Lytechinus pictus: one gene and its partners. The protein of the gene in region 2 purifies or fractionates together with the protein of the main gene of each other region. This does not show direct contact. Links are inferred from orthologs where the notes say so. Each region holds a gene or a part of one and is shown on either strand. Other genes may lie near its edges. The genes, in order: large ribosomal subunit protein eL20-like, MKI67 FHA domain-interacting nucleolar phosphoprotein-like, pre-rRNA 2'-O-ribose RNA methyltransferase FTSJ3-like and ATP-dependent RNA helicase DDX24-like.

The links.
Region 1: the proteins of MKI67 FHA domain-interacting nucleolar phosphoprotein-like (region 2) and large ribosomal subunit protein eL20-like fractionate together in Homo sapiens (co-fractionation; 3 studies listed by BioGRID and IntAct, with this or other methods). This does not show direct contact. The link is inferred for Lytechinus pictus from reciprocal best matches to the Homo sapiens genes NIFK and RPL18A.
Region 3: the proteins of MKI67 FHA domain-interacting nucleolar phosphoprotein-like (region 2) and pre-rRNA 2'-O-ribose RNA methyltransferase FTSJ3-like fractionate together in Homo sapiens (co-fractionation; 3 studies listed by BioGRID, with this or other methods). This does not show direct contact. The link is inferred for Lytechinus pictus from reciprocal best matches to the Homo sapiens genes NIFK and FTSJ3.
Region 4: the proteins of MKI67 FHA domain-interacting nucleolar phosphoprotein-like (region 2) and ATP-dependent RNA helicase DDX24-like purify together in Homo sapiens (affinity purification with mass spectrometry; 3 studies listed by BioGRID and IntAct, counting the BioPlex papers as one, with this or other methods). This does not show direct contact. The link is inferred for Lytechinus pictus from reciprocal best matches to the Homo sapiens genes NIFK and DDX24.

Annotation. Positions count from the first base shown.
Region 1 is NC_087247.1:7,744,016-7,751,266, reverse strand, and holds the start of large ribosomal subunit protein eL20-like, read right to left. Parts: upstream 3,014-7,251; 5' UTR 2,966-3,013; coding exon 2,948-2,965; intron 1-2,947.
Region 2 is NC_087247.1:47,894,042-47,901,319, reverse strand, and holds the start of MKI67 FHA domain-interacting nucleolar phosphoprotein-like, read left to right. Parts: upstream 1-4,255; 5' UTR 4,256-4,342; coding exon 4,343-4,405; intron 4,406-4,910; coding exon 4,911-5,019; intron 5,020-6,852; coding exon 6,853-7,076; intron 7,077-7,278.
Region 3 is NC_087246.1:16,943,651-16,950,891, reverse strand, and holds the start of pre-rRNA 2'-O-ribose RNA methyltransferase FTSJ3-like, read left to right. Parts: upstream 1-4,224; 5' UTR 4,225-4,485; coding exon 4,486-4,552; intron 4,553-7,241.
Region 4 is NC_087261.1:25,556,707-25,564,231, reverse strand, and holds the start of ATP-dependent RNA helicase DDX24-like, read right to left. Parts: upstream 3,006-7,525; 5' UTR 2,790-3,005; coding exon of another isoform or gene 2,784-2,789; 5' UTR 2,613-2,783; coding exon 2,379-2,612; intron 1-2,378. Other genes in the region: uncharacterized protein LOC135157277, read left to right, coding at 3,298-3,400, 4,471-5,963. UniProt on the Homo sapiens protein: ATP-dependent RNA helicase that plays a role in various aspects of RNA metabolism including pre-mRNA splicing and is thereby involved in different biological processes such as cell cycle regulation or innate immunity.

The DNA of each region.
Region 1 (7,251 bases), about 40 Mb from region 2:
AATAGATTTAATTTTAATTTATATTTGTTTCTTTATTCATTCATTTGGATCTAGATTTGTTTATAACTTTAATTTGTTCTTTCAATTTACATTAGTGTCAGTCCCTAGGCTATGAAAATTTCAAGGGCACTTTTTAAAAATCTTTGAGGGCATTTGGAGCAAATTCTCGCTACCCCAAATAGCGATTTCGCCGAGATCCGGGAAAATCCCTGTAACGTGCATTGCATTATGGGATAGCTTTTTCGGTATTACAACTTCCTGTTCGGAAGTCCAATGCACTGTTTTGCCATTCAGATCAACAGTGCCGTCATGCACAACAACACAACGTCGCTTTCGCTCGGAAAGTTCGTGATCACAACCCTCTCTTTCACGATACAGTTTAACAGTTTTACAGCCTTTTCTGCTAAAGTCAGTAATTCTGCCCGACGCTTTCCATTGCACGGTATTCATCTGTCAGTTAAGATTTTTTTTAAGTTCCGAAACTGATTTTTATCCATTTTGTGGTCGACGAAAAATTGAACGAAATGAATGCTGTATATATTTAGCGTCTAGTTGAATACGATCATGATGTCAGGCCGGTCGCTAAATGCACAATTTTAAGATATTCATTATTTGTTTGATTTTTTTATAACCAAATAAACACATGAATAAAAATTATTTTCACGTGAAATATATTTTTTATTTTTATTTATAATTCAAATGGAATCAAAACTGACCAAATGTAATAAAAAGTATTATACTCTGTACATATTACGCTGATTGGCATCGATTTCAGCGTGGTGGAAAACTCAGTATCGCGAACCTCGCGCGAGCATGACTCTAAACCGGAAGTGGTGATGACGACCCGACGGAGTGAAAATTATCTCGTCTCGCGCATTATGAGATTTTTGTTCCTATTTGGGGTAGCGAGAATTAGGGAGAGTTGAAATTAGCCCTGAGCCCTCTTCACTGTGGCAAATTGTAAAGAACGGATAGTGATGCGTTCCACGCTAGCGGGCGTGTAAATTTTGCTTATTATATGACGTCATCCAGCCACTGCCGAGATCTAATTTATGAATGAAAATATAGTAAGCATGCGCAGTGCAAGCCTTCCATTGCCCCACACAGTATTCCACCAAAACAAGTGTGCAATTCTCTATCACTTCGTGCCAAAATCGACCTTGAATTTCACTTTCCTATATTTTATATGAATTATGAAAGGTATTCTCGGAGGATCTATTTTCTCACCGATAACGCACAGGTAAACGAATTTCGATTACTTCTTGCTTTTCCGTCAAAATCTTACAAATAAAGCGTCGATATGGCATCATGTTCGTTGGAGTTTGTAGAGTCTATCGCAACATGCACAAAGTCAATTGATTTTCGGAGCGTTGCATGAATATGCATGAAATTGCGGAGTCTCAATAATTTTTGATCGATACTGGAGCGATCCGATCACGAACCAAGATCATTTCCCGCGTAGACAATGTGACCGGATATCGTTATCGATACTTTCGCACGCAGTCCGAAGGAATTATTTTGGCGACCACGTAGTCATGACGTCACCTGCGCAATTGACCAATCAGCGGTCTCCGATTCGCTGAACGGAGATGGTCTATCCGTTGTACACAGTCTATGGACAATTTACCACTGTGCTCTTCCCCCTGCATCAAACCTGTTTTGCAACCAGTCACTGTCACATTGAGCAAGTTTCTCAATAATTAATTTTTTTAAGCCTGGGGTTCCCCTGGCGGTTACACTTCGTAATTCCAAAGGTTCTTTATTCCGAAGGTTCGTAATTCCGATACACGTAAATTGCCTATACCTCGATGCTCGTTAATCCGAAAACGTAAAAGGGTTCGTTAATCCGAACATTTGTGGCGTTATTCCGAAGGTTCGACAATGCGAAAACGAAATAAGGTTCGATGTTCCGAAGGTTCGTTAATCCGAAAACGAAATAAGGTTCGTTGTTCCGAAGGTTCGTTAATCCGAAAACGAAATAAGGTTCGTTGTTCCGAAGGTTCGTTAATCCGAAAACGAAATAAGGTTCGTTGTTCCGAAGGTTCGTTAGTCTGAAAACGAAATAAGGTTCTATATCATTTCGTTTTCGGACTAACGAACCTTCGGAATTACGAAACTCATTTCGTTTTCGGATTAACGAACCTTCGGAATTATGAACCTCACTTCTTATCCAGACTAACGAACCTTCGGAATTACGAATCTCATTTCGTTTTCGGACTAACGAACCTTCGGAATTACGAACCTCATTTCGTTTTCGGACTAACAAACCTTCGGAATTATGAACCTTCGGAAATACGAACCTTCGGAATAATGAACCTTCGGAATATCCGAACCTTCGGAATAACGAAGCTTCGGAATTACGAATGTGTGCGCCCCTGGCATGCATGATGGCAAATTCATAACAAAAAGGATCGTGTCTCAAACATATTATGAATATGAGCAATCTCTCAACACATATCGTCAACAAGTCATCCTCCTGCGCCTGCGCATCCCCCCCCCCCCCCCCCCCCCCCCCCCCCCGTCACCTGATGCCAGTCATCCAGATTATTATATAGTCCAGGTCAGTCATGCCAGTACAATTAAAAAACTGAATCACATCTGTAACATCCACAACTCATTCAAAATCCCAAAGAAAAAGAGAGAACACAATATCATCCATGATGACCATGACATGTTCCACACACACCACAGCCCAGGCACAGCTCAGTGCAGTGCACACAGCAGAGCAACATGCCATTACCAGTGGCACTGCACTAGTAGCAGTGCGGTTCTGCTGTGTCCGTCGATTGTTTCGAACCCCATAATAGATATCTCAATTTCTCCTCTAGTATTTATGAAATGTTAATAGAATCAATATCATATTATAAATTAATTATTATCTAATCACATTTATTTTACAATGATTATATTCGGGGACTGGGGAGGGTAAAATAAGCCACTTTCTAACCTGTCCTCTGAATTTCATTTCGTGTACAACCCACGAGGAAAAGGACGAAAAGGCCGAGGAGTGACAGAAAATACAGATATGGTCAATAATCAAAAGAAACGGTCATTATTTTTTGCTCAATTTACATGTATGTGTATATTTCAAAGTCAGTAAAATATTCAAAATATTAAAATTGTTTTATTAAAAATAAAAAAAGATATATATACAAGGTAAAATACAAAATGTATGAATTTTGATATGATATCTTTAAATTGGTAAATTGACGATGATTGAAGTTGTACGATCAATATTCTTCGGGGAGCATAACAGTGGACAGTGCCAATTTACAACCAGGTTTAATTTTAATGATTTGAATTTATAAGCCAATCTTGAAAACACCCCCCCCCCCCCTTTATGGAACAGTTGAGAAAGAACATTGCTTTTGATTGCAGTAGTTAATTTCTTATAAACCCTTTTTATGTAAAGCATTATAACCCGGGTTCTTAATAATTTTTCAATGAGGTCCATGAAAAGTGTTAAAACAAGGACTTTTTGGTTGAAATGAATTATGCGGCCCCCTGCATGGCGTAGCCCACTGAATAAAAAGAAAGGAATACAAAAATTCCTTTCCCAGGTGTTGATCACACAAGTGATCAGTGGTGTAAGAAGAAAATATGCCTAATCATGAGCAGCAGAGGCAGCAGATATGGAATTTGGAGTAATTGCGAGCGAGCTAAAAAAAAAATCCTTTTTGTTAATGTAAATCTAATTAATTTTTTTGATAGATGTTTTCAATAGCAAAACTTTGCTGTTGGGGACATTGGCACTGATTTATAAATGTGTCAATATTTTCGCGCGTTGTTAAATTCGCGGCCGATCGGCAATTTGCGAAATCCGCGAAAATAACAGCTTATACAGTATCTTTCTTTTTAGGAGAGAACTCATTTGTGATCTCTATCGCATGAAGAAGGGCATACAGATGAGGCGTACCGTGGGTCAAGGCATTGGGAGGGGGCACCAGCAAATATTTTGAGTCATTAAGTGGGCGCGCGAAGCGCGCTCAATTGCCAGCCACTGACCTAATAGAGACATTTTAAGGACTGTGCCATTAAACGGATTTGTATCTCACTGATCAAATAATGCGAGCGCGAAGCGCGAGCTGATAATTTTGATATTCAGGGACATTAAATTTTAAAAATCATGAAACGTAGGCCTATACCTGTCTCACTAAACAATCAATGCGAGAGTGAAGCGTGTGCCGAAATTTGTGTATATATTGACCCCAACTAAGGACATTTAAGGATTATTTTTAAGGAATTCATGAAGGACATTCATATCTCACCATAGTCATTTTATGCGAGCGCCAATAAGCGCTTGCTGATTTTGTCATAATTACACCTAGCTACATGAAACACTTTTTGTAGTCATTATAATCATGAACAGGATATGTATCTCACTAATTGCGAGCGCAAAGCGTAAGCTGAAAATTTTTGAAATTCAGACCCGAAGAGGAGCATTCTAAGGCTTGTTTATAGGAATTCACTAAGAGTAGACCATACGTATTTCGCTTAATGATGCGAGCGCGAAGCGCGAGCTGAAAATTTTTGATATTCAGACCAGGAAAGGGACATATATTAAGGACTGTTTTTAGGAATTCATGAAGCTCATATCTCACCAATCTACTAATGCGAATGTAAGCATGGACTGGAAATGTTTTATATTCAGACCCTAAAAGGGCCGTGCGAGGACTGTATATTGACTTGAAAACAGGATAGCACAACAGGATTATATATTCTCAGCAGGAATGGTGAACACATATAGGCCTAAGCAATTTATGTTTTATAAAGTTTTAAAAATATTTCTTAAATAATATCATCTATATAAATATAGCCTACATAATATGATATACAATCATTTATTCTCCCCCCACTATATGTATATCTTCCTTTCTCAATCTTTTTCTCCTATTCTCCCGCTTTTTGGCCAGCAGATGTGGGGGGGGGGCGCGGGGGGCATGGACCCCCCCAAAAATGAAAGAAAATGAAAGAGAGAAGGGTGAATAATGGTATTATTTTCTGGATGTCAAAATCTATCACAAAATTAGATCTTTTATAAGTAATTTTAAACTTTTTGCTCGCTCCCTTCTCTCGCTTGATTTTTAGAAATAAATTTTGCCCAATAGGCGTACGCCATGCTTGGCCCCCTTTTTTTTTTTTATCATTTCGCCACTGGATGAACATGGTGAAGAGAAGCAGACAGTATCCGCGAGTGTTTAACCTTGTAAACATATTTATCAATTTTTCATAAGTCACAAATTCTATTGGAGATTCTTCATTATACAGTCAATAATTCATACGGATCTCGGTAATTATTCCTATATCTCTCTCGCTTGCTTAAAATTCTATTTCTGTGATATGAATAGCGAGGTATCTTGTGTATTTAGTTGGGGAATCCTTTACGTTCATAACAAATATTCTTTTTGCCGGTCGCTCAACATTCATTCGGTTATACAGAAGCACGTCAGCTCCGTGGACGGCAGTAAGATACCAGTATTTATCCCTTTCTTTATTTTTCATATTGGGATAATGGTAATATACAATAACAATTTCTAGGTCTGTAGTCAAGATTATGCAGCTTCTGCCAAGAAGAGGGGGCAAAAATATTTTAATCCATATTCCCCGATCGGCCGCTAAACATGCTAAAAGCTGAACTTTGAAGTACATCTTTTTTTTTCTGAGGACAAGACAAGGTATGGCATAAAGCATAAATGCATAATGCTAGCGCGAAGCGCGGGATGAAATTTGTAATAAATGCACATGAAAACGTGACATTCTATTTAAAAAAAAGTAATCATAATCAAGATGGGTATCTAACCAAACAATTGATTCGAGAGCGAAGCGCGAAGTGAAACTTTTTAATACTCCGACCTAAAGCACAAATGATGAACAAAGTATGCGAAGCGTGAGCTGAAATTTGGGCGATTTAGACCTATAAGAACGGGACATTCTAAGCAGTGGGTATTAATAATATGAGAGAAAAAAAATGATATTCCGATCTGCAAAAAGGACGGATTATAATGAAGTTTTCAATCAACAATAAGATATGTATCCAATAAGCAATTATTGCATACACAAAGCGTGAGGTGATATAATTATATATATATATTTAGGTCTATAGACCTAAAAATGAGAGATTCTATTCATTTTCATGAAAAAGATGGGTATCTTGCTATATATACGGTGCGAGCGCGAAGCGCGAGCTGAACATTTTTGGTGCTCCATTAAAAAAAACCAGTACATTATTTTAAGCACTTACAAAATATAATGCGAGTGCGAAGCATTAGTTGAAATGTTTGATATATTGACCCGAAAGAAAACATGTTAAGCACTGTTTAACATGTAGGAACATTATTAAAAAATCATTTAATGTTACTGTATGAGTATCTAACTGCTTAACAATGCGAATGCAAATCTCTAAAAATAAGCAGGCCTATACTGACCTGAACCAATATAGGGGTAATCTCAAAGATGGGAAATCGGGAAGAGGATCCGTCTATGCGAACGCATATGTAGCGTGATCTGAAATTTTTTTGATATTCACTTTTTCGTAATTATGAATAGAATGCATTGAATAATTTGTGCACATTGACTCCGAGGACCCCTCGGTAGATCAGCAGCACCATGATTGATGCTGCTGAGTAGGGCCATCCTCCCGTTTTCTATTTATCAATTCACATTTATCATTTTATATGTATTGTTTTTTTGTTTTTTTTAACGGAAATAAATTCAATCAATCAATCAAACGGGATATTTTATGTCTCAGCATGTTATCCTCTTGAGCAGATCATCTCACTCAAGGCAATGTGAGCGCGAAGCGCGAGCATTTTTTTGTTTTGTTTCATATAATGACCCCTTTTGACCTGAAAGTTTTTACCAATTATTCTTCTCTCTTTGTTTCAGTCACTTTTCTTCCTCATCTTCATCTTATCATCTACGGCCTCCCCGGCCTTCCCTTTACTTGTATTTCTCCCTCTTTTTGTAGCGAACCCATTTTGCTTGTCAAATTTCTCGTGACTTATCTTCATCTTGTTGTGAAAACCTTTTTTATTTGCTTTTCAAATTAAAAACAGCACCCCCTATTAAAAAAAAATCGTTCCCAGCTAGGGCCCTGGATAAAGTTAAGGTCCAACCATTAAATTTGTCGACAATATATTTATAGGAAGAAGTAACTTGCAGGCCCATCGAAATAAATAATTTTGAATGGATGTTCAGGGGCCGATCCCACATCCAACAACGGGGAAGGTGGCGGGGAGAAACTTAATTGTC
Region 2 (7,278 bases):
GGTAGATGGACTTGGGGGACCTGCATGCTAGGGTCATTGTCACCATGATAATTGTATTTTTTGTCAAATTTTTGTGTGAGCTCTATATATCGTGATGACGCGGTGGGTTCGGGAGATACATGTGCTTGGCTGCGCGACCCGCAGAGCATCTCTAGTTTATAACGCAGGATCTCATTCTAATCTTAACTATCTATATAATATGGTTTCGTAAAATAAATGCGGAAAAAATAGATACATGTAAATCACATTTATTTTACCGGAAAGATCATGGGCTTCACGGCAATCCACTTCTGCATCGCAAGAATTCAAGATGGTGGAACTTTCGGGAATTCTGTTTTCATTCATAAAAAATTAGGAATCGTCCACTTTCGAAAAAAGGTATGATTCATTCATTTTAAGCAATGATGTGACATCACCCCAGGTATTTGTATGAAGGCTTGCATGTACAAGCGAGAGCATATTTAGCGCCGGTTTGGGGCCATGATCCTTTACACAGTAAATGGACGCGGCCTAAGGGGGTCATTGGAGAGCAGATTCGCGAGCGTTCTAGGTGATTTTACAAGAGACTGATGTGTGGAAAATAGAAAATCTTTTTAAAATCATGGAAAAACATGTTATTTAGGAATGAGAAAGATATGAATATTTTGAAATGCACCGCTGGCAGAAAAAAATTGCGCACATTTGATGTCCCTACTAATATTTTTCTTTCGGTAATGAAATTGTATATTTGAGAACATTTTGTGTATGTTTTATTGAATTTGGTTTGTAAAGACTAAGAGCCAGCGGTTATGAACTTCAATTTTGAGTGTTGTGAGGTGTTTGAGAATCTGAGTCGGCCGATCGAGCAGCTGTAAGTGACGTCATCCCTGCTGCGATTGGCTCGAGATTAGTCCAGGTATTCAGACACGGTAGATTTCAGCCGTTGTATATATATTTTTTTAATTACGATTTGAGCTCTGTTATAAAATTTTATTTGTTATTTTGAAAATAATTTTGTAGAATTTGTGCGAAATAAGTATTTAGAGCAAAACTGCAAGTGAAATTTAAGAATTTTTTTTGATGAGTGATTTTTGTATCACTTGCATAGCAGTGTGAGACTATAGGCGCCGCTTTTCCGACGGCGGCGGCGTCAACACCAAATCTTAACCTAAGGTTAAGTTTTTGAAATGACAACATAACTTAGAAAGTATATGGACCTGGTTCATGAAACTTGGCCATTAGGTTAATCAAGTATTACTGAACATCCTGCCCAAGTTTCGTGTCACATGACCAAGGTCAAAGGTCATTTGAAATCAGGGTCAATGAACTTAGACCATGTTGGGGGAATCAACATCAAAATCTTAACCTAAGGTTAAGTTTTTGAAATGACAGCATAACTTAGAAAGTATATGGACCTGGTTCATGAAACTTGGACATAAAGTTAATCAAGTATCACTTGACATCATGCATGAGTTTCACGTCACATGACCAAGGTCAAAGGTCATTTAGGGTCAATGAACTTTGGCTGAATTGGGGGTATCTGTTCAATTACCATCATATCTTTGAAAGTTTATGGATCTGATTCATGAAACTTGGACATAATAGTAATCAAGTATCACTGAACATCCTCTGCAAGTTTCAGGTCACATGATTAAGGTCAAAGGTAATTTAGGGTCAATGAACTTTGGCCAAAATATGGGGTATTTGTTGAATTACCATCATAACTTTTAAAGTATATTGGTCTAGTTCATTAAACTTGGATATAAGAGTAATTAAGTATCACTGAACATCCTGTGCGCATTTCAGGTCACATGACCAAGGTCAAAGGTCAATGAACTTTGGCCATGTTGGGGGTATTTGTTGAATTACCATATCTCTGTAAGTGTATTGGTCTAGTTCATAAAACATGGACATAAGAGTAACCAAGTATCACTGAACATCTTGTGCGAGTTATAGTAGTTATCAACGTCAGCACTGCTGCTATAATGAATCGCGTGATGCAGGTGAGACCGCCAGAGGCATTCCACTTGTTTGTTAGAAGGAGTCTGAATGTCTAGAATATGGTATTGTTAATGGAAGTCGTATTTTTGAATGGCAAAGAAAGTCCTTTTCATGAATTTAATTTAGAAATAGGTCTACATGTTTGAGCTGTTTCATGAATTTGATATCTGATTATGGACCTTTGTTATGGTGTTAATTATTATTTTGAAGATCTTTATTAAATAATGAGATACATGTAAGACAATAATGAGGCAATAATGATAATGAGACAATAATAAGAAGACAATAATAATGATTATGACCGAAAGCAGAGGGCAGCAACACACAGCCGTTTTTCTGCCTTCATTCTACGTTCAGTCGCTATGCGGACGTGAATGTAATTTCAATATGATCTGTGATGGAGTCGAGTGCAGTCACGATGTGTGGATTGTTGTAGCGAAGTGGGATTGTGTTTTTGGCCAGTTGATATTCGTATTTCGTTGAAGATTTGGGAGTAATTTCTGTTGCTATTCTGTGCATTTTGAGAAAAATATATTTTCTGTGATTTTCCATTTGAAAGGCCGCTTTCCGTTTCAAAAGGCCGATTCCATGAATTCCGTCTGTTTAAAATCACTGTCCCTAGATATAAAGGCCCGTATTATGAAGTCAGGTTTAACTTAGAACATGGTCTAACTCTGTGCTAAAATTATGGAAGCCAAAAGTATCAAAATTTTTATTAAGTTGTATGTTTCTTTTATTTACTGTGCTCTTTCCTGATTCTTCAATGGTGAAGACAATCATCTATTTATACTCTCTAGACAATTATGAATGATTTGAGAGCCAAATGAGCTGAAATATCTCTACTGTAGTGATTTATGTAACAATCAGCTAGCCATATTTAAACCACAACTTTAAACATGAGTTTAAGTTAAACCCGACTTCAGAATACGGGCCATACTGTTCCTGCAAGTGATGATGAAGAGTCAATCAATTTCACCTCTCACATGTGACTGTGGAATGAACGCATTACTCTGTCTGATGCAGGAATCAATGTAACAGTACAGTTTAATACATGGCAAAGTAGTACACCAATACTCACAATGTTAGTTGAAGATATCCCTTGTAACGTATGTAACAATAACAAATGCACTTTCCAGATGTGGTGTGAATGGTATTTTTCAGTTTCAGCTAGCCAGCACCATGTGTGTCTAAACTAGCAAGGGTGTGCTTGTATGCACAGTGAATCGTTTTGTGCTGTAGTCACAACATGACATAGATTACACTGGAACCGAATCAACTGCGAATTCACATACTCTGGAGTATTCTGTTCTCCCTCCCTGAATACGAGAAAAGTCTGGAATATTCGTGGAGGGATTTGGCTCGCTTTGAAATGTTCAAGACCAGCCAAATACAAAATACCGGTACTTCCGAATGTGACCACAACAAATTTCATTTGGGTCACATTCAGGATGTATTTGGATGGATTTCAGTTGGATTCTGGGAAGCATTTGGGGTATTCTGGGCAGTCAATTCTCGGCTATTCTGCTCTGATTTGGGACCTATTCCGGACCTATTCGTTACTGATTTGGGGAGTTCACGAATCAGAGACGAATAGGTTAGGAATCCACCGAATTCATCCTAATCAGGCCATATTCAGGCAGAATCTGTCCAAATTTATTCGGGAGAATTTGTTTTTTGTGTAAAACAAAGAGATACATGTATATGAATTTCAGTGTCTCCAAAGACTAAGAATTATCAACCACTTCAGACCTATTTTTCCTTGTCATGATACAAAAATTTCAAACTTGATCAACCAGGTAATGTTATGAAAAGTATATAGTCAGAGTTTCTTGATTTTCTTGTTTCTTGCTTGAATTTATCGGCCTGATATGATGAAAATGAAATGTCTGGGTGTGTGTGTGTGTGTTTTTTAAAACAATTTCTCAAGCATGGAATAGTCAAACCATTTCAGGATAATGATCTTTGTCTGGTTTTGTTTAATCGATAAAAAAAAGAAATTACAAAATGCATACAGAACAGGTCATTTTTTAAAGAAAAAAAATCAATGCATCTGAAAAAGGGTTCTAGAGAGTAGCTACCTGTTTTAATTGAAACTTAATTTTCCACAAATATAATGGGGTTGAAAAAAAATCAATTGATGGCCACTTCAAGTTTGTAAGACTTGAATTATCACATTATTCACATGATACTATTGACCTTTTACCAAAGCTTGAGCTGTCTTTAAAAGTTAATCAAAATCTGTATTTTCTAATTGTCACTGTTATTTCATGTAAATCTGCAGAAACGTGATATCCATGAAGATGACCCAAACTCTGGCGTCGTTTATGTGTCTCATATTCCTCATGGTTTCTTTGAACCTCAAATGAAAAAGTTCTTCTCACAGTTTGGCAACATCAAGAGGTTACGACTCAGCAGAAGCAAAAAGGTGAGAATTATTTTGGTGTTAAATTACTCCCCCCCCCCCCTTTCCCCCGATCCCAATACATACATGTAGATGCTATTTGAAAAACTACCAGTCATTGGATCAATATTGATAGCAACTGTTAATTTTATACCTGTGTCAGTCCATTTCTTTTTGTGTGTGTGTGTGTGTCTACTGACTGCCCAGCATTTTTGGGTGAACACTGGTGGACCGCTCAAACAAATAGATACATGTATAGGAATTTCAGTGTCTCCAAAGACTGAATTATCAACCACTTCAGGCCTATTTTTCCTTGTCATACAAAAATTTCAAACCTTGATCAACCAGGTAGAGATAGTCAGGGTTTCTTGATTTTCTTGTTTCTTGCTTGAATTTATCAGCCCGTAATGTTATAATCTTGCCAAAGTTGAGTATACTTATTTTCCAATGTATTTGTAGCTATTCAGAAATTATTCTCTCCAATCAACATGTACAGTTGTTAACATGTTTTGGTTTACATTGATTTCAGAGCGGAAGATCAAAGGGGTATGCTTACATCGAATTTGAATATGATGAAGTTGCAAAGGTGGTGACTGAGACAATGCACAACTACCTGATGTATCAGAAGCTTCTAAAATGTGAGTACGAAAAATTGTGCGTCAGTTACTTATTACAATTGTTATTGCACGGCTACTTCTATATACAAGAAATTTGAATTATTCAGCAGTTTGGTAAAATTGCCTCAAAAGATCAAGATTTTTTTTTTCATGTTTGTGGTAGGTTTCCTCTTCAGGAAAACAAGGTTTTTTTATTTTTTATTTTTTATTTCCAATCACAAAATTAAAAGAATTTGGGAAAATACCTGATAAATTTCAAGGTTTTGTAATTAGATTTATTGTATTATTATACTATTATGTGTACAATGGCAAACTTTTAACCCTAAAAGGACTGGGCTATTTGAGATGTATTGAGGACTGGGGGGGGGGGGGCAATCATGGCCCCCCCTTCTGATCTCGGCCGCTGTAAACTACAAGCCAGTATAAAAAAAAGCTATTGAAAATTTTTTTTTTTTTTAATTATGAATGAGATATACAAATTTATTCGTGAAAATCATTATTTGCATATTTAACACCCAATTTCACTTCAAATTTTCTTCTTTTTTCCAGATGTCATCTGTGTAATCTAATTTAAAGGAATCCACAAAGAAAAATTGCCAAAGTCAATTTTTTTCCTCATGTATATCTTTGTTTTTTGAACTTATGTATTTTTGTTTTTTCATCCTTTGTTTTTTTTTTAATGGAAATTATTACAGACAATTTAACCACTAAATTAAACCCTGAAGAAACTAAACAGAACAGTTAAAGGGTAATGAGACCTTTGGAACAAGTAGGCTTATGTCGAAACAGAAAAATCACAGAATAAGAACAAAACAAGTTTGAGAAAAATCGGACAAATAATGGGAAAGTTATGACCATTTGAATATTGCAATCACTAATGCTATGGAGATCCTCCCATTGGCAATGCGACAAGGATGTGTGATGTCACATGTGAACAACTTTCCCTTTGATGGACTATAAAATACCCCCAAAATGTCTCTTTTTGCTTTTTCTTACGGTGAAACAAACTCTATCCATGATGTATTTTTTAAAAATCTGTATTACATGACCTCCTAAAGAAAGAACACATAATCTACTGATAGATGTGATAAAAGAGGCAATTAAAGTGAAATATATACTAAATTAATGGGGAGAGTTGTTCACAGGTGACTTCACACATCTTTGTCGCATTGCCAACGTGAGGATCTCCATAGCATTAGTGATCGCAATATTCAAATGCTCATCACTTTCTCATTATTTGTCCGATTTTTCTCAAAATTTCATTGATCTGTTTCTTTGATTTTTCTGTTTTCACACAGGCTATCTTGTTCCAAAGATTTAATTCTCCTTTAAAATGAAAATAATCACCCTTTTATGAATTTCATCTCCCAAAGACTTTGTACACAAAGTATAAAAATGAGCCATTTTTGGCACAACATTGTCTCGTAAAAAGTGGTGGGGTGTCGATGCTTTCTGTGTATATTGCGAATTTGGTCCCAGACTTCAAAGAAAAAAGTCATAAAATTTTGCGGCGCTATCTCTTTGCGTTTCGGAAATATCGTGCGAAGCGTTGAGGGGGGCATCATGGCCCCCCATCCTTTTATGGTTAATGCAATATGCAAAATGTAAATGTAAACATGAATGCAATTCAAGTTTGTTAAAAAGAAACAAATCTTAAGCTAATTGAAAAAAAATAAAATGGGAACTAGCAGAAGTTAGGTATATATATACATTTACTCTTTTAAGTTTCTTTATTTTATCTATAGGTGCATGTATGAGTAGAGATTGGTTCAAATTGAGAAATGAAAAACACACGTTTATCTTGGAATGTTTTGAGCAATTCTATGTCTTTTCAAATTATTATTTTATTTCTAGGTTTCTATGTTCCTAAAGACAAGCTCCATCCTGACACATTCAAGGGTTGTTTCCATCACTTCAAGAGCCCCCGAAGACGAGAGATTGCAGCCTCCAGAAACAATAGCTTGTTAGAGAGTGGGAAAGATCATATCCTGGAGAGCCAGAAGCGGAGAGTGAGAGGTCTTAACAAGAAACAGAAGAAGCTTCAGGAGTTAGGCATTGACTTCAAAATAGAGGGTGTGGTGAGTATCTCTCCCTTTCCTTGCTATGTTGTACTTTGAGCTCTTTCATACAATATACAAGGAACTTGTCAAACTACACATAAAACACAAGTTTGTGCCATGTTGTACTATAGTCATGTTCAATTTCTAGCATGGTGAATATACTTTTTGTGAATTATTACTGCTAATTGTCACTGGACCAAACTTCGTTCAGCAGCCGAGT
Region 3 (7,241 bases), on a different chromosome or scaffold from region 2:
TTATTTCATTCACTCGTCTTCTTCCTCTTATTTTACCTCTTCTTTTTTTCTCCTCTCTTTTTCTCCTTTTTCTTTCCTTCTTTCTGTCTTCTTTCTTTCTTTCTTTCTTTCTTTCTTTCTTTCTTTCTTTCTTTCTTTCTTTCTTTCTTTCTTTCTTTCTTTCTTTCTTTCTTTCTTTCTTTCTTTCTTTCTTTCTTTCTTTCTTTCTTTCTTTCTTTCTTTCTTTCTTTCTTTCTTTCTTTCTTTCTTTCTTTCTTTCTTTCTTTCTTTCTTTCTTTCCAGCCATGGGTTATAGGCCTATGCCCTTTAAAATTTATACCCCATGCTCCCAATTTTTTTCTGAGTGCGGGCCGGGTGGTGGGCCTAGTATATATAGGCACGAGCTATAGCTCGATCCGGGGGGCACTTTGTCTTGGTATAATATTATGATACCTATATATGTCAGGGGCCGCGGAACGGTTTTCAAAGTGGGGGGGGGGGGGGGGGGGGGCTGACCATGCAAAAAATCACAAACCTATGGTCATTTTTACGTTTTTGTACACGGTTTTGGAAAAAAGTGGGGGGGGGGGCTGAATGTGAATGATTTTCCTGGAAAATTGTTGCAACGTATTATAGTGATTTATAAAGATGCTGCCTTTACGGTCAAGGCCAAACTTGAAAACTCCCAGTGCAGCTTTGAGACAGTAGTGAGTGACCGTTGAGTTTGCATATCACTGTGTCTGTTTTAAAACTAGTGAGCGAAACTTTAAAATGCTATAATTTTCAGCTTGTCCGATTTTGATGAAATTTTCAGCAATATGCTTGGTTTTTTGGCATCTTTTTTATTATTATCTAAATCCACTTTTTTGTTGGAGCGGACTTAGTTCCTCTAAACCCGGCGGTATCGAGGGGGCGGGGATCGATGATGCAACTGACCGGCCGGCCCTCAAACTTTGAACTTGATATTCCAAATATTGCAATGATGCCAAAATCGGAACAATATATTTACGGTATCTCATTTATTTTAGGGCAATTTTAGTGCCTTTTATTTCTTTCAATCGGTTGAGTTGCTCGCTTATAATTTTTTTTTCAGAAGCAAAAGGCCGAAATATGATTATGCCGAATTACCCGTTGGACGATATTCCAGAATCTTTAGCAAGCCGGATCGATCGGAATGAATTTCGCCACCTAGCCATCCATGCTTATCTAGCAATCTGTGCATGGACGTCCGGACTACTACTGTGCTCTGTGGACACGTACGTGCAGTCGCCGTTGGCCTAACGTCAGCTTAATGGACGACGCCATATTGCCAGATTTGGCCCGCGCCCTCACCGGCTAACGCTCGGCTAAAGCTCGAACGCCATTCACCCATACACTAATTCCCCTTGATTACCGTTGTTAAAAACCACTGTCAAATCTTTTCCAGCATTTTTATGAATTAGCGGTTGATGTTTTTCCGTTTATCAAATATCCTTCATTATACACATATTTTTTTCATATTTATAACATTTTTATTTTAATCACAATTTCAGTCCAAACGCGGGTCAGTTTTTGTTAACCCACGTTGTTTGTGCATGCCCACGTGTAGCCTTACGCGTATTGAAAGGAATGATGTTGGGTGGAAAAACAGAATTGTTATTGTTTGTTCCTTGTTTGTTGGGGATGAAACTATGATGGCGACCAGTCACGTTTGACTGTACCGCCAAATAGTTAAGATTAATTAATTAAGGTCAAGGTGAGATAAGAGAAATGAGCAAGGGGCATTGTGGTGGGGGGGGGGGGAAGGGAGAGAGAGAGAGAGGGGGGGGGGGGTTACGAGGGCCGAGTGGGGATACAGTTTCATCGTGCAGTACAGGGCGTCGATGAACACTTTTATTTTTTTCTCCAAAATATGGAAAGTGACAGAATAATCAGAAAAAGGTTGATTGGTTCTGATTTTGAAAAAAAAACAGAATTTATCAAGATTGCTGTTATTCTTCATGGATGTAGAATTTAATTTAGTTTCTCTGATAAGTATAGAAAACAACTCAAATTTTGATTAATCGTATTTCATTTATTTCACTCTTTTCTTTCGCCTCGTTTTTTTTTCTTCCAAAAAATCAGGGAGCTGAAAAATATGAGAGCTAGAACCTAAAGATATGGGGTAGCTATGACGTTGGAGAGGGCGCAGCCTCATGCACTTGCAGATCCAGATCAATTTTCACAGGGGACACTTAGAGTAGCCCCTATTTCTTTAATATTATTTTTACAAGCAAAAAAAAGTCAATGAAGACATCAGGCCACCGACAGCTGCCTCGTCAAAGGGGGGGGGGGGCGGTCGATTATTTTGAGTATTTTTTTTTTCATTTTGTCCTCAATAGGGGGGGGGGTTCAATTAATTCTATATACACTTCTATTGTCTTTATATATGGGGGGGGGGGTCTGCTACTGAGCATGTTTTTAAAAGGGCTTAATAAGGGGCTTAATATAACAGAAATTGTACGATTTAACACAATAAAATGTATCATCGAGGTAAATACTAAATTAATACATAATTAATAATTGTTTTAATTGAAAATGAAAATAATAAAGGCACCCATATATCTAGACCAAAAGCTTCGGTCTCTGTTATGTTGGTTGTTCTGCTGAACTACGTTGGCTCCACTCACCAAATACATGTGTACGAGGAGAAATTAAAAAATAAAAAATGTTAAAAAACTCCTCGAAACAGACGGCTGCCAGCTGTCTATTGTACGAGGAGAAATTAAAAATTAAAAATGGTTAAAAAACTCCTCGAAACAGACGGCTGCCAGCTGTCTACCATAGATCTTAACATCTCATAAATACAGGCCTAAACCTGTATTGGAAGTTGAACAGGCATAAAGTATAAATGTTTAGCTATAGCTGATGCTTTGATCCCGCAACCAAATAATGTTATATCAGTCAGTGGCGTAAGCCGTAACAAGCGAAAATAATTGAGGGTAAAACGATATGGCGTATCAGGCAAAATTTATAAAATATATAGTTGCAAGCAAGCGACATAAGCATAATTTTGACTCTTGGTTACAAAAATCCAATTGAACGATCTCGCAAGATTCTCTTACCTTTTCCTTTTTTTTTCTTGTTCGTGAATTGGGGGCATGCAAGACCCCCCCCCCCCCCCATACAGCACCACTCTTTGTTGTCACTGTCTAAAATTTGATTTAAACTTTGAGAATTTGAATTTCTTATCTAAGTAATCCAAAGGGATAAGACAAAAATATTTGCAGATTACTTATTTCAAAGTATTTTTATACCTATAACTCCCCAACTCTGCTCTAGCTGCACTGCACGTTACCTAACGGCCTTCCACCAAAGGGCCAGGCCGACTCACCCCGTGAGCAAGTGACCGCGTTCGCGTAAGTTCACCCGAAGCCATGACTAAATTCTGACCATAAACATCACCTAACTAATCACTCTTTGACAATATTTCAAAGTATCTTTTATTAGAGTCGATCCTTTGGGCCATTAAACGATAATATTTCCAATGTTATCATGACAAACAATTTTAATGAGATAGTGGCATTGTAGAAAAAACTAATTTATAAGCACGAAATGGCACCAGATAAATCATCAAACATACAGCGCAGCGTTCGGGACTGGTGAGTGGTACGGCTCGCTTGGAGTTTTCGCCCCGACGAATTCGGCGAAAACGCTACCATTGCGCCGTGCGAATGTTCAATCTGCGGCTCTCAATCAGAGACTTGAATGTCTCTTTTTGCATTATCAAAAATGTATCATAGACTTTGTTTGATTTGTTTACAAGTAAGTTGCATATCCGTCGTGATAATTAGGAAAATCCATGATGTCTTCTTCTAATTCTGTAAAAATTACCTCTTCAAAGTGCCTGTGTCAGAAAATTTCCGGAAATCGTAAAAACTTGCCTAAAATGTCTCTTTTTGAAAGTTCATCCATGGTCTGGAAAAAAATGTTATAATTTATGTAGACGTATACCGTAAACAAATACATCCTCGATCACTGAAATGAAGTGTTTGCTAAGCTTTTTTATCTCAGACCGCGTTACCATGGCAACTTGGGAAAACCTTTATTTTTTAGTAATAAAATTCTGGTTTTAAGAGTCATTTTAGAGACATAAAACTAACCATATTTTGAAGTATTGGGTTTAAATTTCACATAACACTGAATTATCTATGTTTATACTTTCGTATATGAATATTCATATTTCTTATAGAATCTTAGTTTTTGATTGGTCAATGTTTCAGTCATGGATAATAACTAAGCGTTAAAAAATCTGAAAATGCGCATTTTATCGGCAACCAACAAGCAAGATGGCGGAACACATTAAGTTGGCGCTATGCACGTACGTGTGGACGGTTGATCTAGATCGACTACGCCGGAGTTCTCGGTCCAAACACTACTGAATCTCCGCTGGCCTAATAATACTAGCTGCGACTGGCCTGGCTCATTTGGATGATTCGATTCGAAACAATTTTTTAACATCTGAGGCGGGCAAATTTCTCCTTCAAAATGGGCAAGAAAGCGAAAATCGGAAAGCAGAGGAAAGACAGATATTATCATCTTGCTAAAGAAACAGGTTTGTCAATTAATTACGGCCCGAGAATTAACTATAGCTAAACATTATTAAAGGAGAATGAAACTCTTGGAGCAAGTTAGCTTTTGTGAAAGCAGAAAAATCAAAGAATAAGATCAACAAAACTTTGAGTAAAATAGGACTAGCAATAAAAGAGTTATGAGCATTTGAATGTCGAGATCACTAATGCTATGGAGATCCTCCCATTGGCAATGCGACCAAGATCTGTGATGTCACACACGTACAACTCTCCCATTTGGACACTGAAAATATACCCCAAAACATCTCTTTTTGCTCATTCTAATCATATGACAAACGATTCATCAATGATATAATGTTGTGAAACCTCTGTACTTGTCATCTCATAAAGAGAACACCTCACCTTGTGATAGACTCTATAAAAGTGAGAATATAAGTGAAATAAGTAATGAGGGAGTTGTACGTGTGTGATATCACAGATCTTGGTCGCATTGCCGTTGGGAGGATCTACATGGCACTAGTGATCTCAATATTCAAATGCTCATAACTTTCTTATTATCCATTCAATCTTCCTCAAACTTTCAACAATATGTTTCTTTGATTTTTCTCTTTGATATGGATTCAGCTGGTTTCAAGGGTTTCATTCTCCTTTAACACTGTCTCATCTCATGACGACATGGGTCATGTTAGGCCTAGTCATGTAGTTAGACTCTGTCACTTGACAACTGACCACCATATTTTAATGTTTGTCTATAAGCCCCGCTTATAATATAGTGCCCTGGGGTGGTATTCTGAATAATCTGAGGTCATTTTATCTTTAAAATATTTTATTTTATCTCTTAAAATGAAATTGGTATTCTGAGAGTGAGATGACATTTTATTTTTATCTCTCACCGTCACAGTCTCGGATAAAATTTACAATTTTATCTTGCGTATAAATTTTATCTTGCGTAACTATGATGATACGCAACAGAACAGTGCCTGCGGAGACATACCCATCGCGTATCTGGGTATTGCAACGCGGATGATGTGCTTGCGCCCAAGTTTAACTTTGAAGAAAAAAATAAAATAAACTTAAAACTAAAAGAGGGTAGGGGCTATTTTATCTCTGCGACGTTGATTTCACCAATATTTCTAGGTGAATTAACCCAAAATGTTGACATGAAAATGAAGAAAAATTATATATTTAATGAGAATAACACCTTAACGTTATTCCTGTACAATCATAACCCAGGGAGCCCAGGGGCTTACCGTGTATTTGACCATAGTCACCGGACTAGGGTGATTTATGGTCTAAATATTTCTCCAAATGAATTGTGAAAACAGAAAGTATACAATTACCACGATTATATGGATGAAGGTCTAACGAGTGGCAGTTTCCTGACATCTGGGCACAGACTGGAACCTAAAAAAAACGAAAAGTTCTCTCCTTCTACCCAGTCTCGATCGGCCATTTTGTTACGATTTTTAACAAAAATGGCTGATCGAGAAGGGGGTAGAAGGAGAGAACTTGTCGTTTTTTTTAGGTTCCAGTCTGTGCCCAGATGTCAGGAAACTGCCACTCGTTAGACCTTCATCCATATAATCGTGGTAATTGTATACTTTCTGTTTTCACAATTCATTTGGAGAAATATTTAGACCATAAATCACCCTAGTCCGGTGACTATGGTCAAATACACGGTAAGCCCCTGGGCTCCTGGGCGGGAGCTCCCTGGGTTAGTACAATCAGAAAGTATTTCATAAGACTTGTCTTGACCAATATTGTCTTTGAAATGATGCTTGAAAAGATGCGATATAGACTTCGAAAAAAGATGAGAGTATTGTCCTTTTTGTTAAAAAGAAATCTCTGTAAAGACGCGCAAGCGTATTGTGCAAGCGTATTTGAAGTCAATAAATTGACGCAATCTCACCCCTTTGCCACACCTCATGGCGGAATGGATTTCAATTGGTTGAGTGACACGAGATAGCTCTAAAAGCACGTTTCTAATTGGATATTGATTAAAAATTAGGTGTGTCTTAAAGAGATAAAATTAAGATACAATTGTTCTCAGAATACCAATTCGGAGATATTTTAAGGGTATTTTATTTCACTGATTTTAACGGAGTTAAAATATTGTATTTTATCTGAGATAAAATGGATCTCAGAATACCACCCCTGGGGCCTGGCAGTGGACGGGTAGAAAAAGGGGGGGGGGGTGGAATTCCTCAACGAGGCGATACAAGTAAAACCACAGGTGGTAGCCTCCATGCTCCGTCTTAACAGACACTCACTTAAAATCCTACCCTGGTAAGGTTTCCATGGTATGAATGCCCCCCCTCCAAAAAAGAGGCAGACAGAAGGAGAACTAAAGGAAGGAAAAGGGGAGAAGTAAAAGAAAGAGGAGAGGGGGAAGGAAAGGGATGGGCCCAGGGGGGGGGCACTCGACCCAAAAAGTAGTAGGTATGTGCCGCGGGCGAGACAAAAAATGGGGGCCTTGGAGCGGGCTTATTGTAAAAAGGAGGGTCCTGGGAACGGGCTTCGGAACTACAAATGTTTGTGAATACGGGGGTCCTTGGAACGGGTCGCCTGCATGTGGGTGCGTATGCATCCCTATGGAACGTGCATGCAGCTAGCCCGGCGGCACGACTGCCGGGCGGGCTAGCTCAGAGTAATGTTGTAAATCGGATCAAAAATCAGATCGAAAATCGGATCGGCAGTTAAGCTTCTAAAATC
Region 4 (7,525 bases), on a different chromosome or scaffold from region 2:
GAGAAAAAAAGCTAAAAGGAAGAAATAAAAAACAAGAAGGGGTAAAGAAAGGATGGATGGAAGAAAGAACAAAGAATGAAGGAAAGAAAGGGTAAAAAGAAGGAAGGAAAGAAACAAAGAAAGAAAGAAAGAAAGAAAGAAGAGATAGATATAGGATGGATGGACTCAAGAATTAAAGACAGAAAGAAATAAAAATAAAAATAAAAAAAAAGAGAAAAAGAAATAGAGAAAAATATTTTTTTTAAGGACAGAAAGAAGACAAAGAAAAAAAGGAAAATTAAAAAAGAAAGACAGTAACAAAAAACAAAGAAAGATTGAAAAGAAAGAAGGAGAGAAAGATATAAAGAAAGCTATAACTATCATGATAGTATCATCATATAAAAATTATCAGTTTCTTTTTGGCTCATTTAAAATAAAGCTACGAAAGAAACCAAGTGTATCAAAACACACACAAATGCATATGTGGGGCTATCATGTATTCAAAGCGCCGTGCCGGCGGGCTATCGCCATGGCATGGCATTGCATTGACACTCGATCGCTCGTTGTGCCTCGCTCAAAAACCCAGCTTCATAGTAAAATTTTGATGTCACCAGCTCTTCACGCGGGGTACAGTAAGCCAATCGCAACTCAATATCTTGTCTTAGCGCGGCAAACCGAAACCAATTTGCATTGATGGTTTAGCTTTGCGCTTGTGTGGTTAAAAACTTTGAAACTTTTGCCTGGCCGTGTTATAATGTTATTGAATATCCAATATAGGTTAATAAAGAGGCGCGATAGCTCAGTAGAGCGGGGGTTTCGGATTCCGGTGACCCGGGTTCGATTCCCAAGTGGTGCGCTAGTGCCCTTTGCCTTGGTAAGGCATTTAATCCTCATTACCAGGTCCCTCGGAAAGGACTTTAAGCCGTTGGTCCCCTGGTTGCTTGCTCACAGGCATTCATGCTTTCTTAGCAGTCAGGTAAAAAACCTCGGTACTGTCTTCAGGTATTAAACTTTTTTTCTCTCTATTTTCGGGGTTTAGCTTGAGAATTCCTACGGCTACGGTCAGCGTGAGAATCGGGTGAATTGTGTGCGACTCACGCAGCTCAGATTGTGTGAGAGTTGGCAGCCCTGAATAAAGACAACAAATAATCAACAATCGATGAGCCTTGTCGCGTCGCATCGGGGGGATTTTGCATTGTTTAATGTTAACATGATCTATTCTAAGTCTAACGACTAACGTTAATGGTGGCTGCACGTGCACGATAGCGAGCCGTCTGTGTCTGACAAGCCTCCAGGCTACTCCAGGGCCATGCTAAGTCAGTAGAGGCGCACGGCCAATATTGGAGACTATCTCCAATGTGGGAGATTATCTCCAATATCAGAGACTTTTGTAAAGAATTTGGGTATCCAATTTCAGAGACGGTCTCCAGTTTTGGAGACCAATTTCCTTTGTTTACATTTGCTGCAAAAGGATTACCTTGGCGGCAAATAAAAATGTGATAAGGGGATTCCTAATGAAAAATTACCCCTTTTCACCGTCTACTTTAAAAATTCACCGTCTACTTTAGACCAAAAGCTTCGGTCTCTGTTATGTTGGTTGTTCAGCTGAACTCCGTTGGCTTCACTCACCAAATACAGAGACCGAAGTTCTAGCGCGATCTGTACAGGGGACTCAATGGCCATATGTTTATGTACTTAAGATCGGATAAAACGGGGAAGTGAATTTGCGCGACAGCCGAGGTAAGTCACTGTTTTTGTTCCTTTTAACTCGATTTTTCGCCGTTTCTTGGCAATTAATGCCAAGAGGGAATATCAATTTGCATTTTGGTCGCATTAATTTTCAAAATGTTTATTGATTAAAGACAAAAATTGAAGAGCCCCGACGGGGGGATTTTGCATTGCAAGTCCCCTAATGGTGGCTGCACGCTAGCGAGCCGTCTGTGTATGAGGAGAACTTAAAAAAAAAAATGTTAAAAAACTCCTCAAAACAGACGGCTGCCAGCTGTCTACGTCTACTTTTGTTTTGATAAGGATTTTTCTTGTCAATCACACACAAAACAAATGGGCTTCTGACCTCAGTGAGACAAAATTTTGGGTGGAAATAATCACGCTTTTGTTGGTGTTGTTTCTTTTGTCCTTTTGCAAAGCAAGTCTCCAATGACATGTGGGAGATTGTCTCCCCTATTGGAGAGAGTCTCCCATATTGGCCGTGCGCCTCTACTGTAAGTGGAGCCAACGCAGTTCAGCTGAACAACCAAAATACAGAGACTGAAGCTTTTTGGGCTATCCTGAGCTGAGCCCCAGCTCCGCCTGAATCATCGGCGGCGTCTTTTTCGAGCTGCCGCAGCGCGCAGTAAGCGGCGGAGCGGAGCACCTTCACTCTGCATGCGCATGCTTACCTTTCCCACAGTCCCACTCGTAAGTTTTCTAAACATGTTTGGATCGTAATCAGTTAAAACCTCCATTCCAACGAATCCACCCATCTCTTCGTCAGCAAACGCTGACATATCCACTTCGAAAGGTTTCCAATTCTGTTCATCTAGAAAAGCGGGCTGTTTTCGTGATTCTCTCTTCATTTTGTTGTATTTCTTCAAGCGCTCGCGCCGCTTCACGTGTCGAATGGAAGTCGCCATCTTGATTTGATAACCTTATATTATAACTTGATTTAAGGCATAGCACAGCGTATGCGCACACAGTCTGCTTGAAATGCTAAATTCATCCATTCCTGCGTGAACATAATTTTTGTTACTTTTTAAAACATTCCTGTGAGTTTAAAAATAAGTATATAGTTTTAATTTCTTTACCTCCATTTTTATTGTATTGTCAATATGCTCTGTCTCGCTTCTCACCTTTTTTCATGAAGAATTCATATTTCTAATCAATATTTAACTCCAAGCACACCGCCGGTATTTGGGGGGAAATGACGCGTGGCGCTTAACTTCGCGTATTTTTGAAAACGCCCTGAAAATGACTAAAAACATCCCCTCAGAAAAATCAACGATCCTCACATGTTACACTCTAAATATGTGCATGAAATTTCCATATAAGGATATCGTGACCTTTCCGATCATGACCCTGTATTCTGCTTCCGTGGAAACCAATTTATGGTCACACCGCAGGCGATTTTACCGTGTGGCTTGGATTCTTCATATCTCCGGTATTCAAGTGTATTTCCGAAGAGTGAAGTACTTGTTACATTTTTTAGGGATGATATTATTTTGTCCTGAAAATGAGTGTAACTAGCAAGGAAATGGCTTTGAATTGAGCAAACCAAATTTTGGTTCACGATTTCGAGGTACTACGCGCTTGACTTCAATCATGGCATCCGCTGACTTCAGCGCAGAACATACACGAATACTCCAACTCACCGGATGGACTGCCGATGAAATTCACTCTCTTGTACACGAACGGAAATGTCCTGGTGAGTAGATTTGTGCCGATTACGTATTCTTAATACCCGATTGATTGGATTTTTATTATGAAATGATGTGAAATGGTTGTGATTGTGACATGAAATGTGAAAAATGTCGATCTTTTTCAAATATCTAATGAACAATTTTGCCGTGATTGTGCAGAGGGAGTGCGCGCAAAATTGCACAGCCATTTCTCCAGTCGACCGGCCACATTCGCCGACCGAATTTTTCTTTTCTGCGCATGCGCAGTTTAAGGTATGGATATTCCATTGCCTCTCTCCCTCCCTCTGGAACGACTGTTTTCATTTTCCTCGTACGTTTTTCAAATCAATAGTTGTGTGATGTCAGGCAATTCAAGAAATTAGACTTGAAAGTCAAATTTGTCACTTTTAATTAATTGTTTGGTCATATTTACTGAATTATTTTGTCTCAATTGTGCCCATAACCAATTCTTTTCCTTTATTAATTAATTTTTTTTTAGGGGGGAGGGGGAGGGGGTGGGGGCCTCAAAGAGACATAATTACAAAAGAAACAAATTATACTTTCAAATGGGCTTTAAAAATTATTATAAGCTAATAATTATTTCTCATTCTCAGAATTTCTTTATACCATTGCTGTGAATAACACATCCTTCCCCTATCAATTTTAAAACCCTTTCTCTGTTTAGTGCCCGTTCATAATTATTTTTTTTTAATTCATTGACAAAGAATTGTGGCCCCCCCCCCCCCTGCCCAATTTTTTTTTTTTTTTTTTTTTTTTTTTTTTAAGAAACACATATATTGGTTCAGTCCTAATATTTGTTTTGGTCTACAGTATGTGCATTTATTTTCAAGTTTCACATTATTTTTATTTTATAAATCCAGACTTTCCCTCTTAAATTAGCAAATATTATCCTTTTATTTAAGGTAGCAAACACTTTTTAATGTCAATAATTAAAGTTTAGATCAATAATTGATTGATATTTTTTTTCAATTATTTGAGTAAATATAGTAATTAGTATGCCGTTGATTTTAAATCACTCAGGCAAAGAACCTACATTGACATTTTTTTTTTCTTCTTCCTTTTCTTTTAATTACAGATCACTGGTGGGAGGACCCAAGGCCTACTTTTGGCTTAATGGAAATCATCAGAAAATGTGTTGATGACACTGAGAGCTTGAGCTTCCGGAAAGACTTTGTTAATATTTTGAAGAGCATGGGCATCAAAGAACCTAACTGCACATTACCTGGAATCCTGTCCAAAGTGAAACGCAGTGCTTTAAAAGCAATCAGTGCTGATAACTTAGAATCCCTATGTGAAGAATATACAGACTTGTCTGGGTCTAATCGTGTTATTGGTTCAGCATGTCAGCAATTGGGAATTACTCCTGGTTTGTTGAAAGAAGGATGCAGTAATTTACAAGGAGATATCTCAAATGGAATCATTGTAGAGCTATTTCATTATCGTAGACGAAATTCCATTCCTTGGAAGACTGTTCTTGATGAGTGGTGGTGTGCACTTTTTCCAGAAAAAACTGGTGAAGTACCACATAGAGGAACTGTTATAAGTAGTTGGAAAAGTGTAGCCACAAGGAGGATCAAATTGTCCCGAGATTCATCAAGAGAAAGGTTGGAGGAATTTTTAAGAACTCCCTACTGCTATCCAACTAAAAGACCCATCAATGAAGAGCAACTGGAAGATGACCATCCTGATGGAAATGAGCCTCCCCTGACTACTAAAGATGACAGTGAGCTTCCCCTGACTACTATAGATGACAGCAACGAGGACATCGTGAGCACATTTGATGATGCCACTAAGAATAAAAGAATAGTTATGAAGAGGTACCAAGACAAGGTTAAGGATATGAAGAAGGAAAGGCAAGAGATGATGGACAGACAGCAACAAGCAAAAGAAGAAAAGAAGAGAAAATCAGTAGCAACAGCAGTCAGAGCAACTGAGATGGTAAACAAGTTGTGTGATGGTCCTTGTACCTCCAGTGCTGATGTGGAGTCCATGATGGCTAAGAAGGCTCCGTCTGATCAAAGAAAGGCTCTGTTGGCACAGATTGACTACTACAAGTCTGTTAACAAAGGATTGGTCAAAGGTGCTTTGTTTTTTAAGTCAAAGGCTGGTAAACCCCTAAGCGCATCTGACCTGTGTGACAACTTAAAAGAGATAATTCAGGTTGTTCATTCAGCCCCCATCGGTCAGTCAGAAGATGCTGAATCTGGTACATCCTGCACATTCCCTGATAGTGACACTCTTCAAGAAGAAAGGAAGGCATTAAGAGAGAAACTGCTATCAAAAGTGACAGGGAGAAAGCGCAAAGAACCCTTTCCTGAAACTACCATTTTACACAAAAGAATTAAACACAAGTTTCTTCCTGAAGGTGGCAAACGTCTTGTCACATACCATGGCAGAGTGTTGAGAAAGAGTACTCAACAGGACATTGAAGACTTGATGGAATGTAACGATCAGGAATATTTCGACAAAGGTTATACATTTTACACCCTTGTGTATGACAATGACGAGAACCTGTACACATATCCTCTTGAGAAGGAATGGGAAGATAATTGTCTGGAGCTCATGTAAGAAAGGCAGCCAAAGTTATTCATTTGTACAAAGGAAAGAAAAATGATGTCTTAACTGAAAATGAACTCTGCACAAGAGATTTTGGCCCAAGTTCACTTCAGAGTTATAGCATTGATTTGAGAAAGATTACTTATCAATTCATCAGGATATTGAAATGAATACTTAATGGATCACTAACCTTTATTATTTGGACAAATTATTTACATATCAGACTTCTATGGTGGTTTGACAATGCTTAGTAATGGAACATATATCTTCTGGAATTCAGTAATTCATCCATGTCGACAGATAAAGAGGTATGTGAAATAAATTTGCTATCTTTTTTGTGTGTTTGAAAAGAAACTATTCATGCACACACCGAAAATAAATTTCGTTTTTACTCAATGTAATTGCATTTATTGCATGAATCCACCAATTACAATTATGTTCAGGGAATAACACTAATGTACAAATTATTTTTACTCAGTACATGTTTATAGCTGCTCTTTTTGTAGTAAATCAAGATTACTTCATCTTTTGCAATACATAAAAACATTGAATTGTAATATTTCCTGCCATATTGAGACACTAGTTTGTGGTACATATAATATGAATGTCTTTCAAAATTTTGTACCAGTCCACCAATTAATTTTTTACTCTTACAGTTTATACAAACCTGCAATCAAAAATCTACCAGGCAGATTTTGGAAAATTCTAATGAAACAGCATCTGTTATATTATTGTTGTGCTAAAAAAAAAACACAAGTTCAATGAATGAGGTAGAATATCTTATGCAGACTGTCCAATGGCTTTTACTATGCCTTGAATGCCCTCTTATCCCTTCTCATCAGGTTGTCCGCTCATTTGTGTCTGGCTGCAGTTTCCCCTTTCTCGATTTGATTCCCTTGGCTGTTGCTCATTGTCCTTGTCATGACCTACTTGAAATGGGATGAAGATTACAGTTATTTTTTGTTAAATTGTTTGAAGTCAGAATTCATAGAAATGTATTAAACATCAATGTTATTAAAAATTCAATTTATTATGCTAAAATTGGGAATATATTAAAATATCTAATGAAACAGCATCTGTAATATTATTGTGATACTTGAAAGAAAACTCAAATACCAGCCTGGATTGACTTGTGCAGCAACTGATCATTCAATTTCAGAACTGCCAAGAACAGATATGTGCTGTCTTTGGCATGTTAATAATAATATCCTCTTTCATTAAGGTTATCTGTCCAGTGCTGTTCTTAAACTCATTTTCAGCACTGTATAGGTAAAAGATAAGTGTTGTGAAATCATAAAGTTTATCAACCTTGTATAACCCATATGAAAGAGACAATTTGTAGGATGGTTTGATTGTTGCCGATGAATCTTTGATGAATTATGTATTAATAATTATGCATAAATTAGCTAATTTGCATAATAAATGAGCTAATTTGCATATTTGTCAAATAAGATTGTACAAAAGTGGTGAAAATTAAAGGTCTTAGTGCAAGAAAACATCTTGCCAAGTTTCATTGCGTGAAACCTAATATAACTGGAGATATTGCATTTACGCATATTAATTAGCTCTCATTT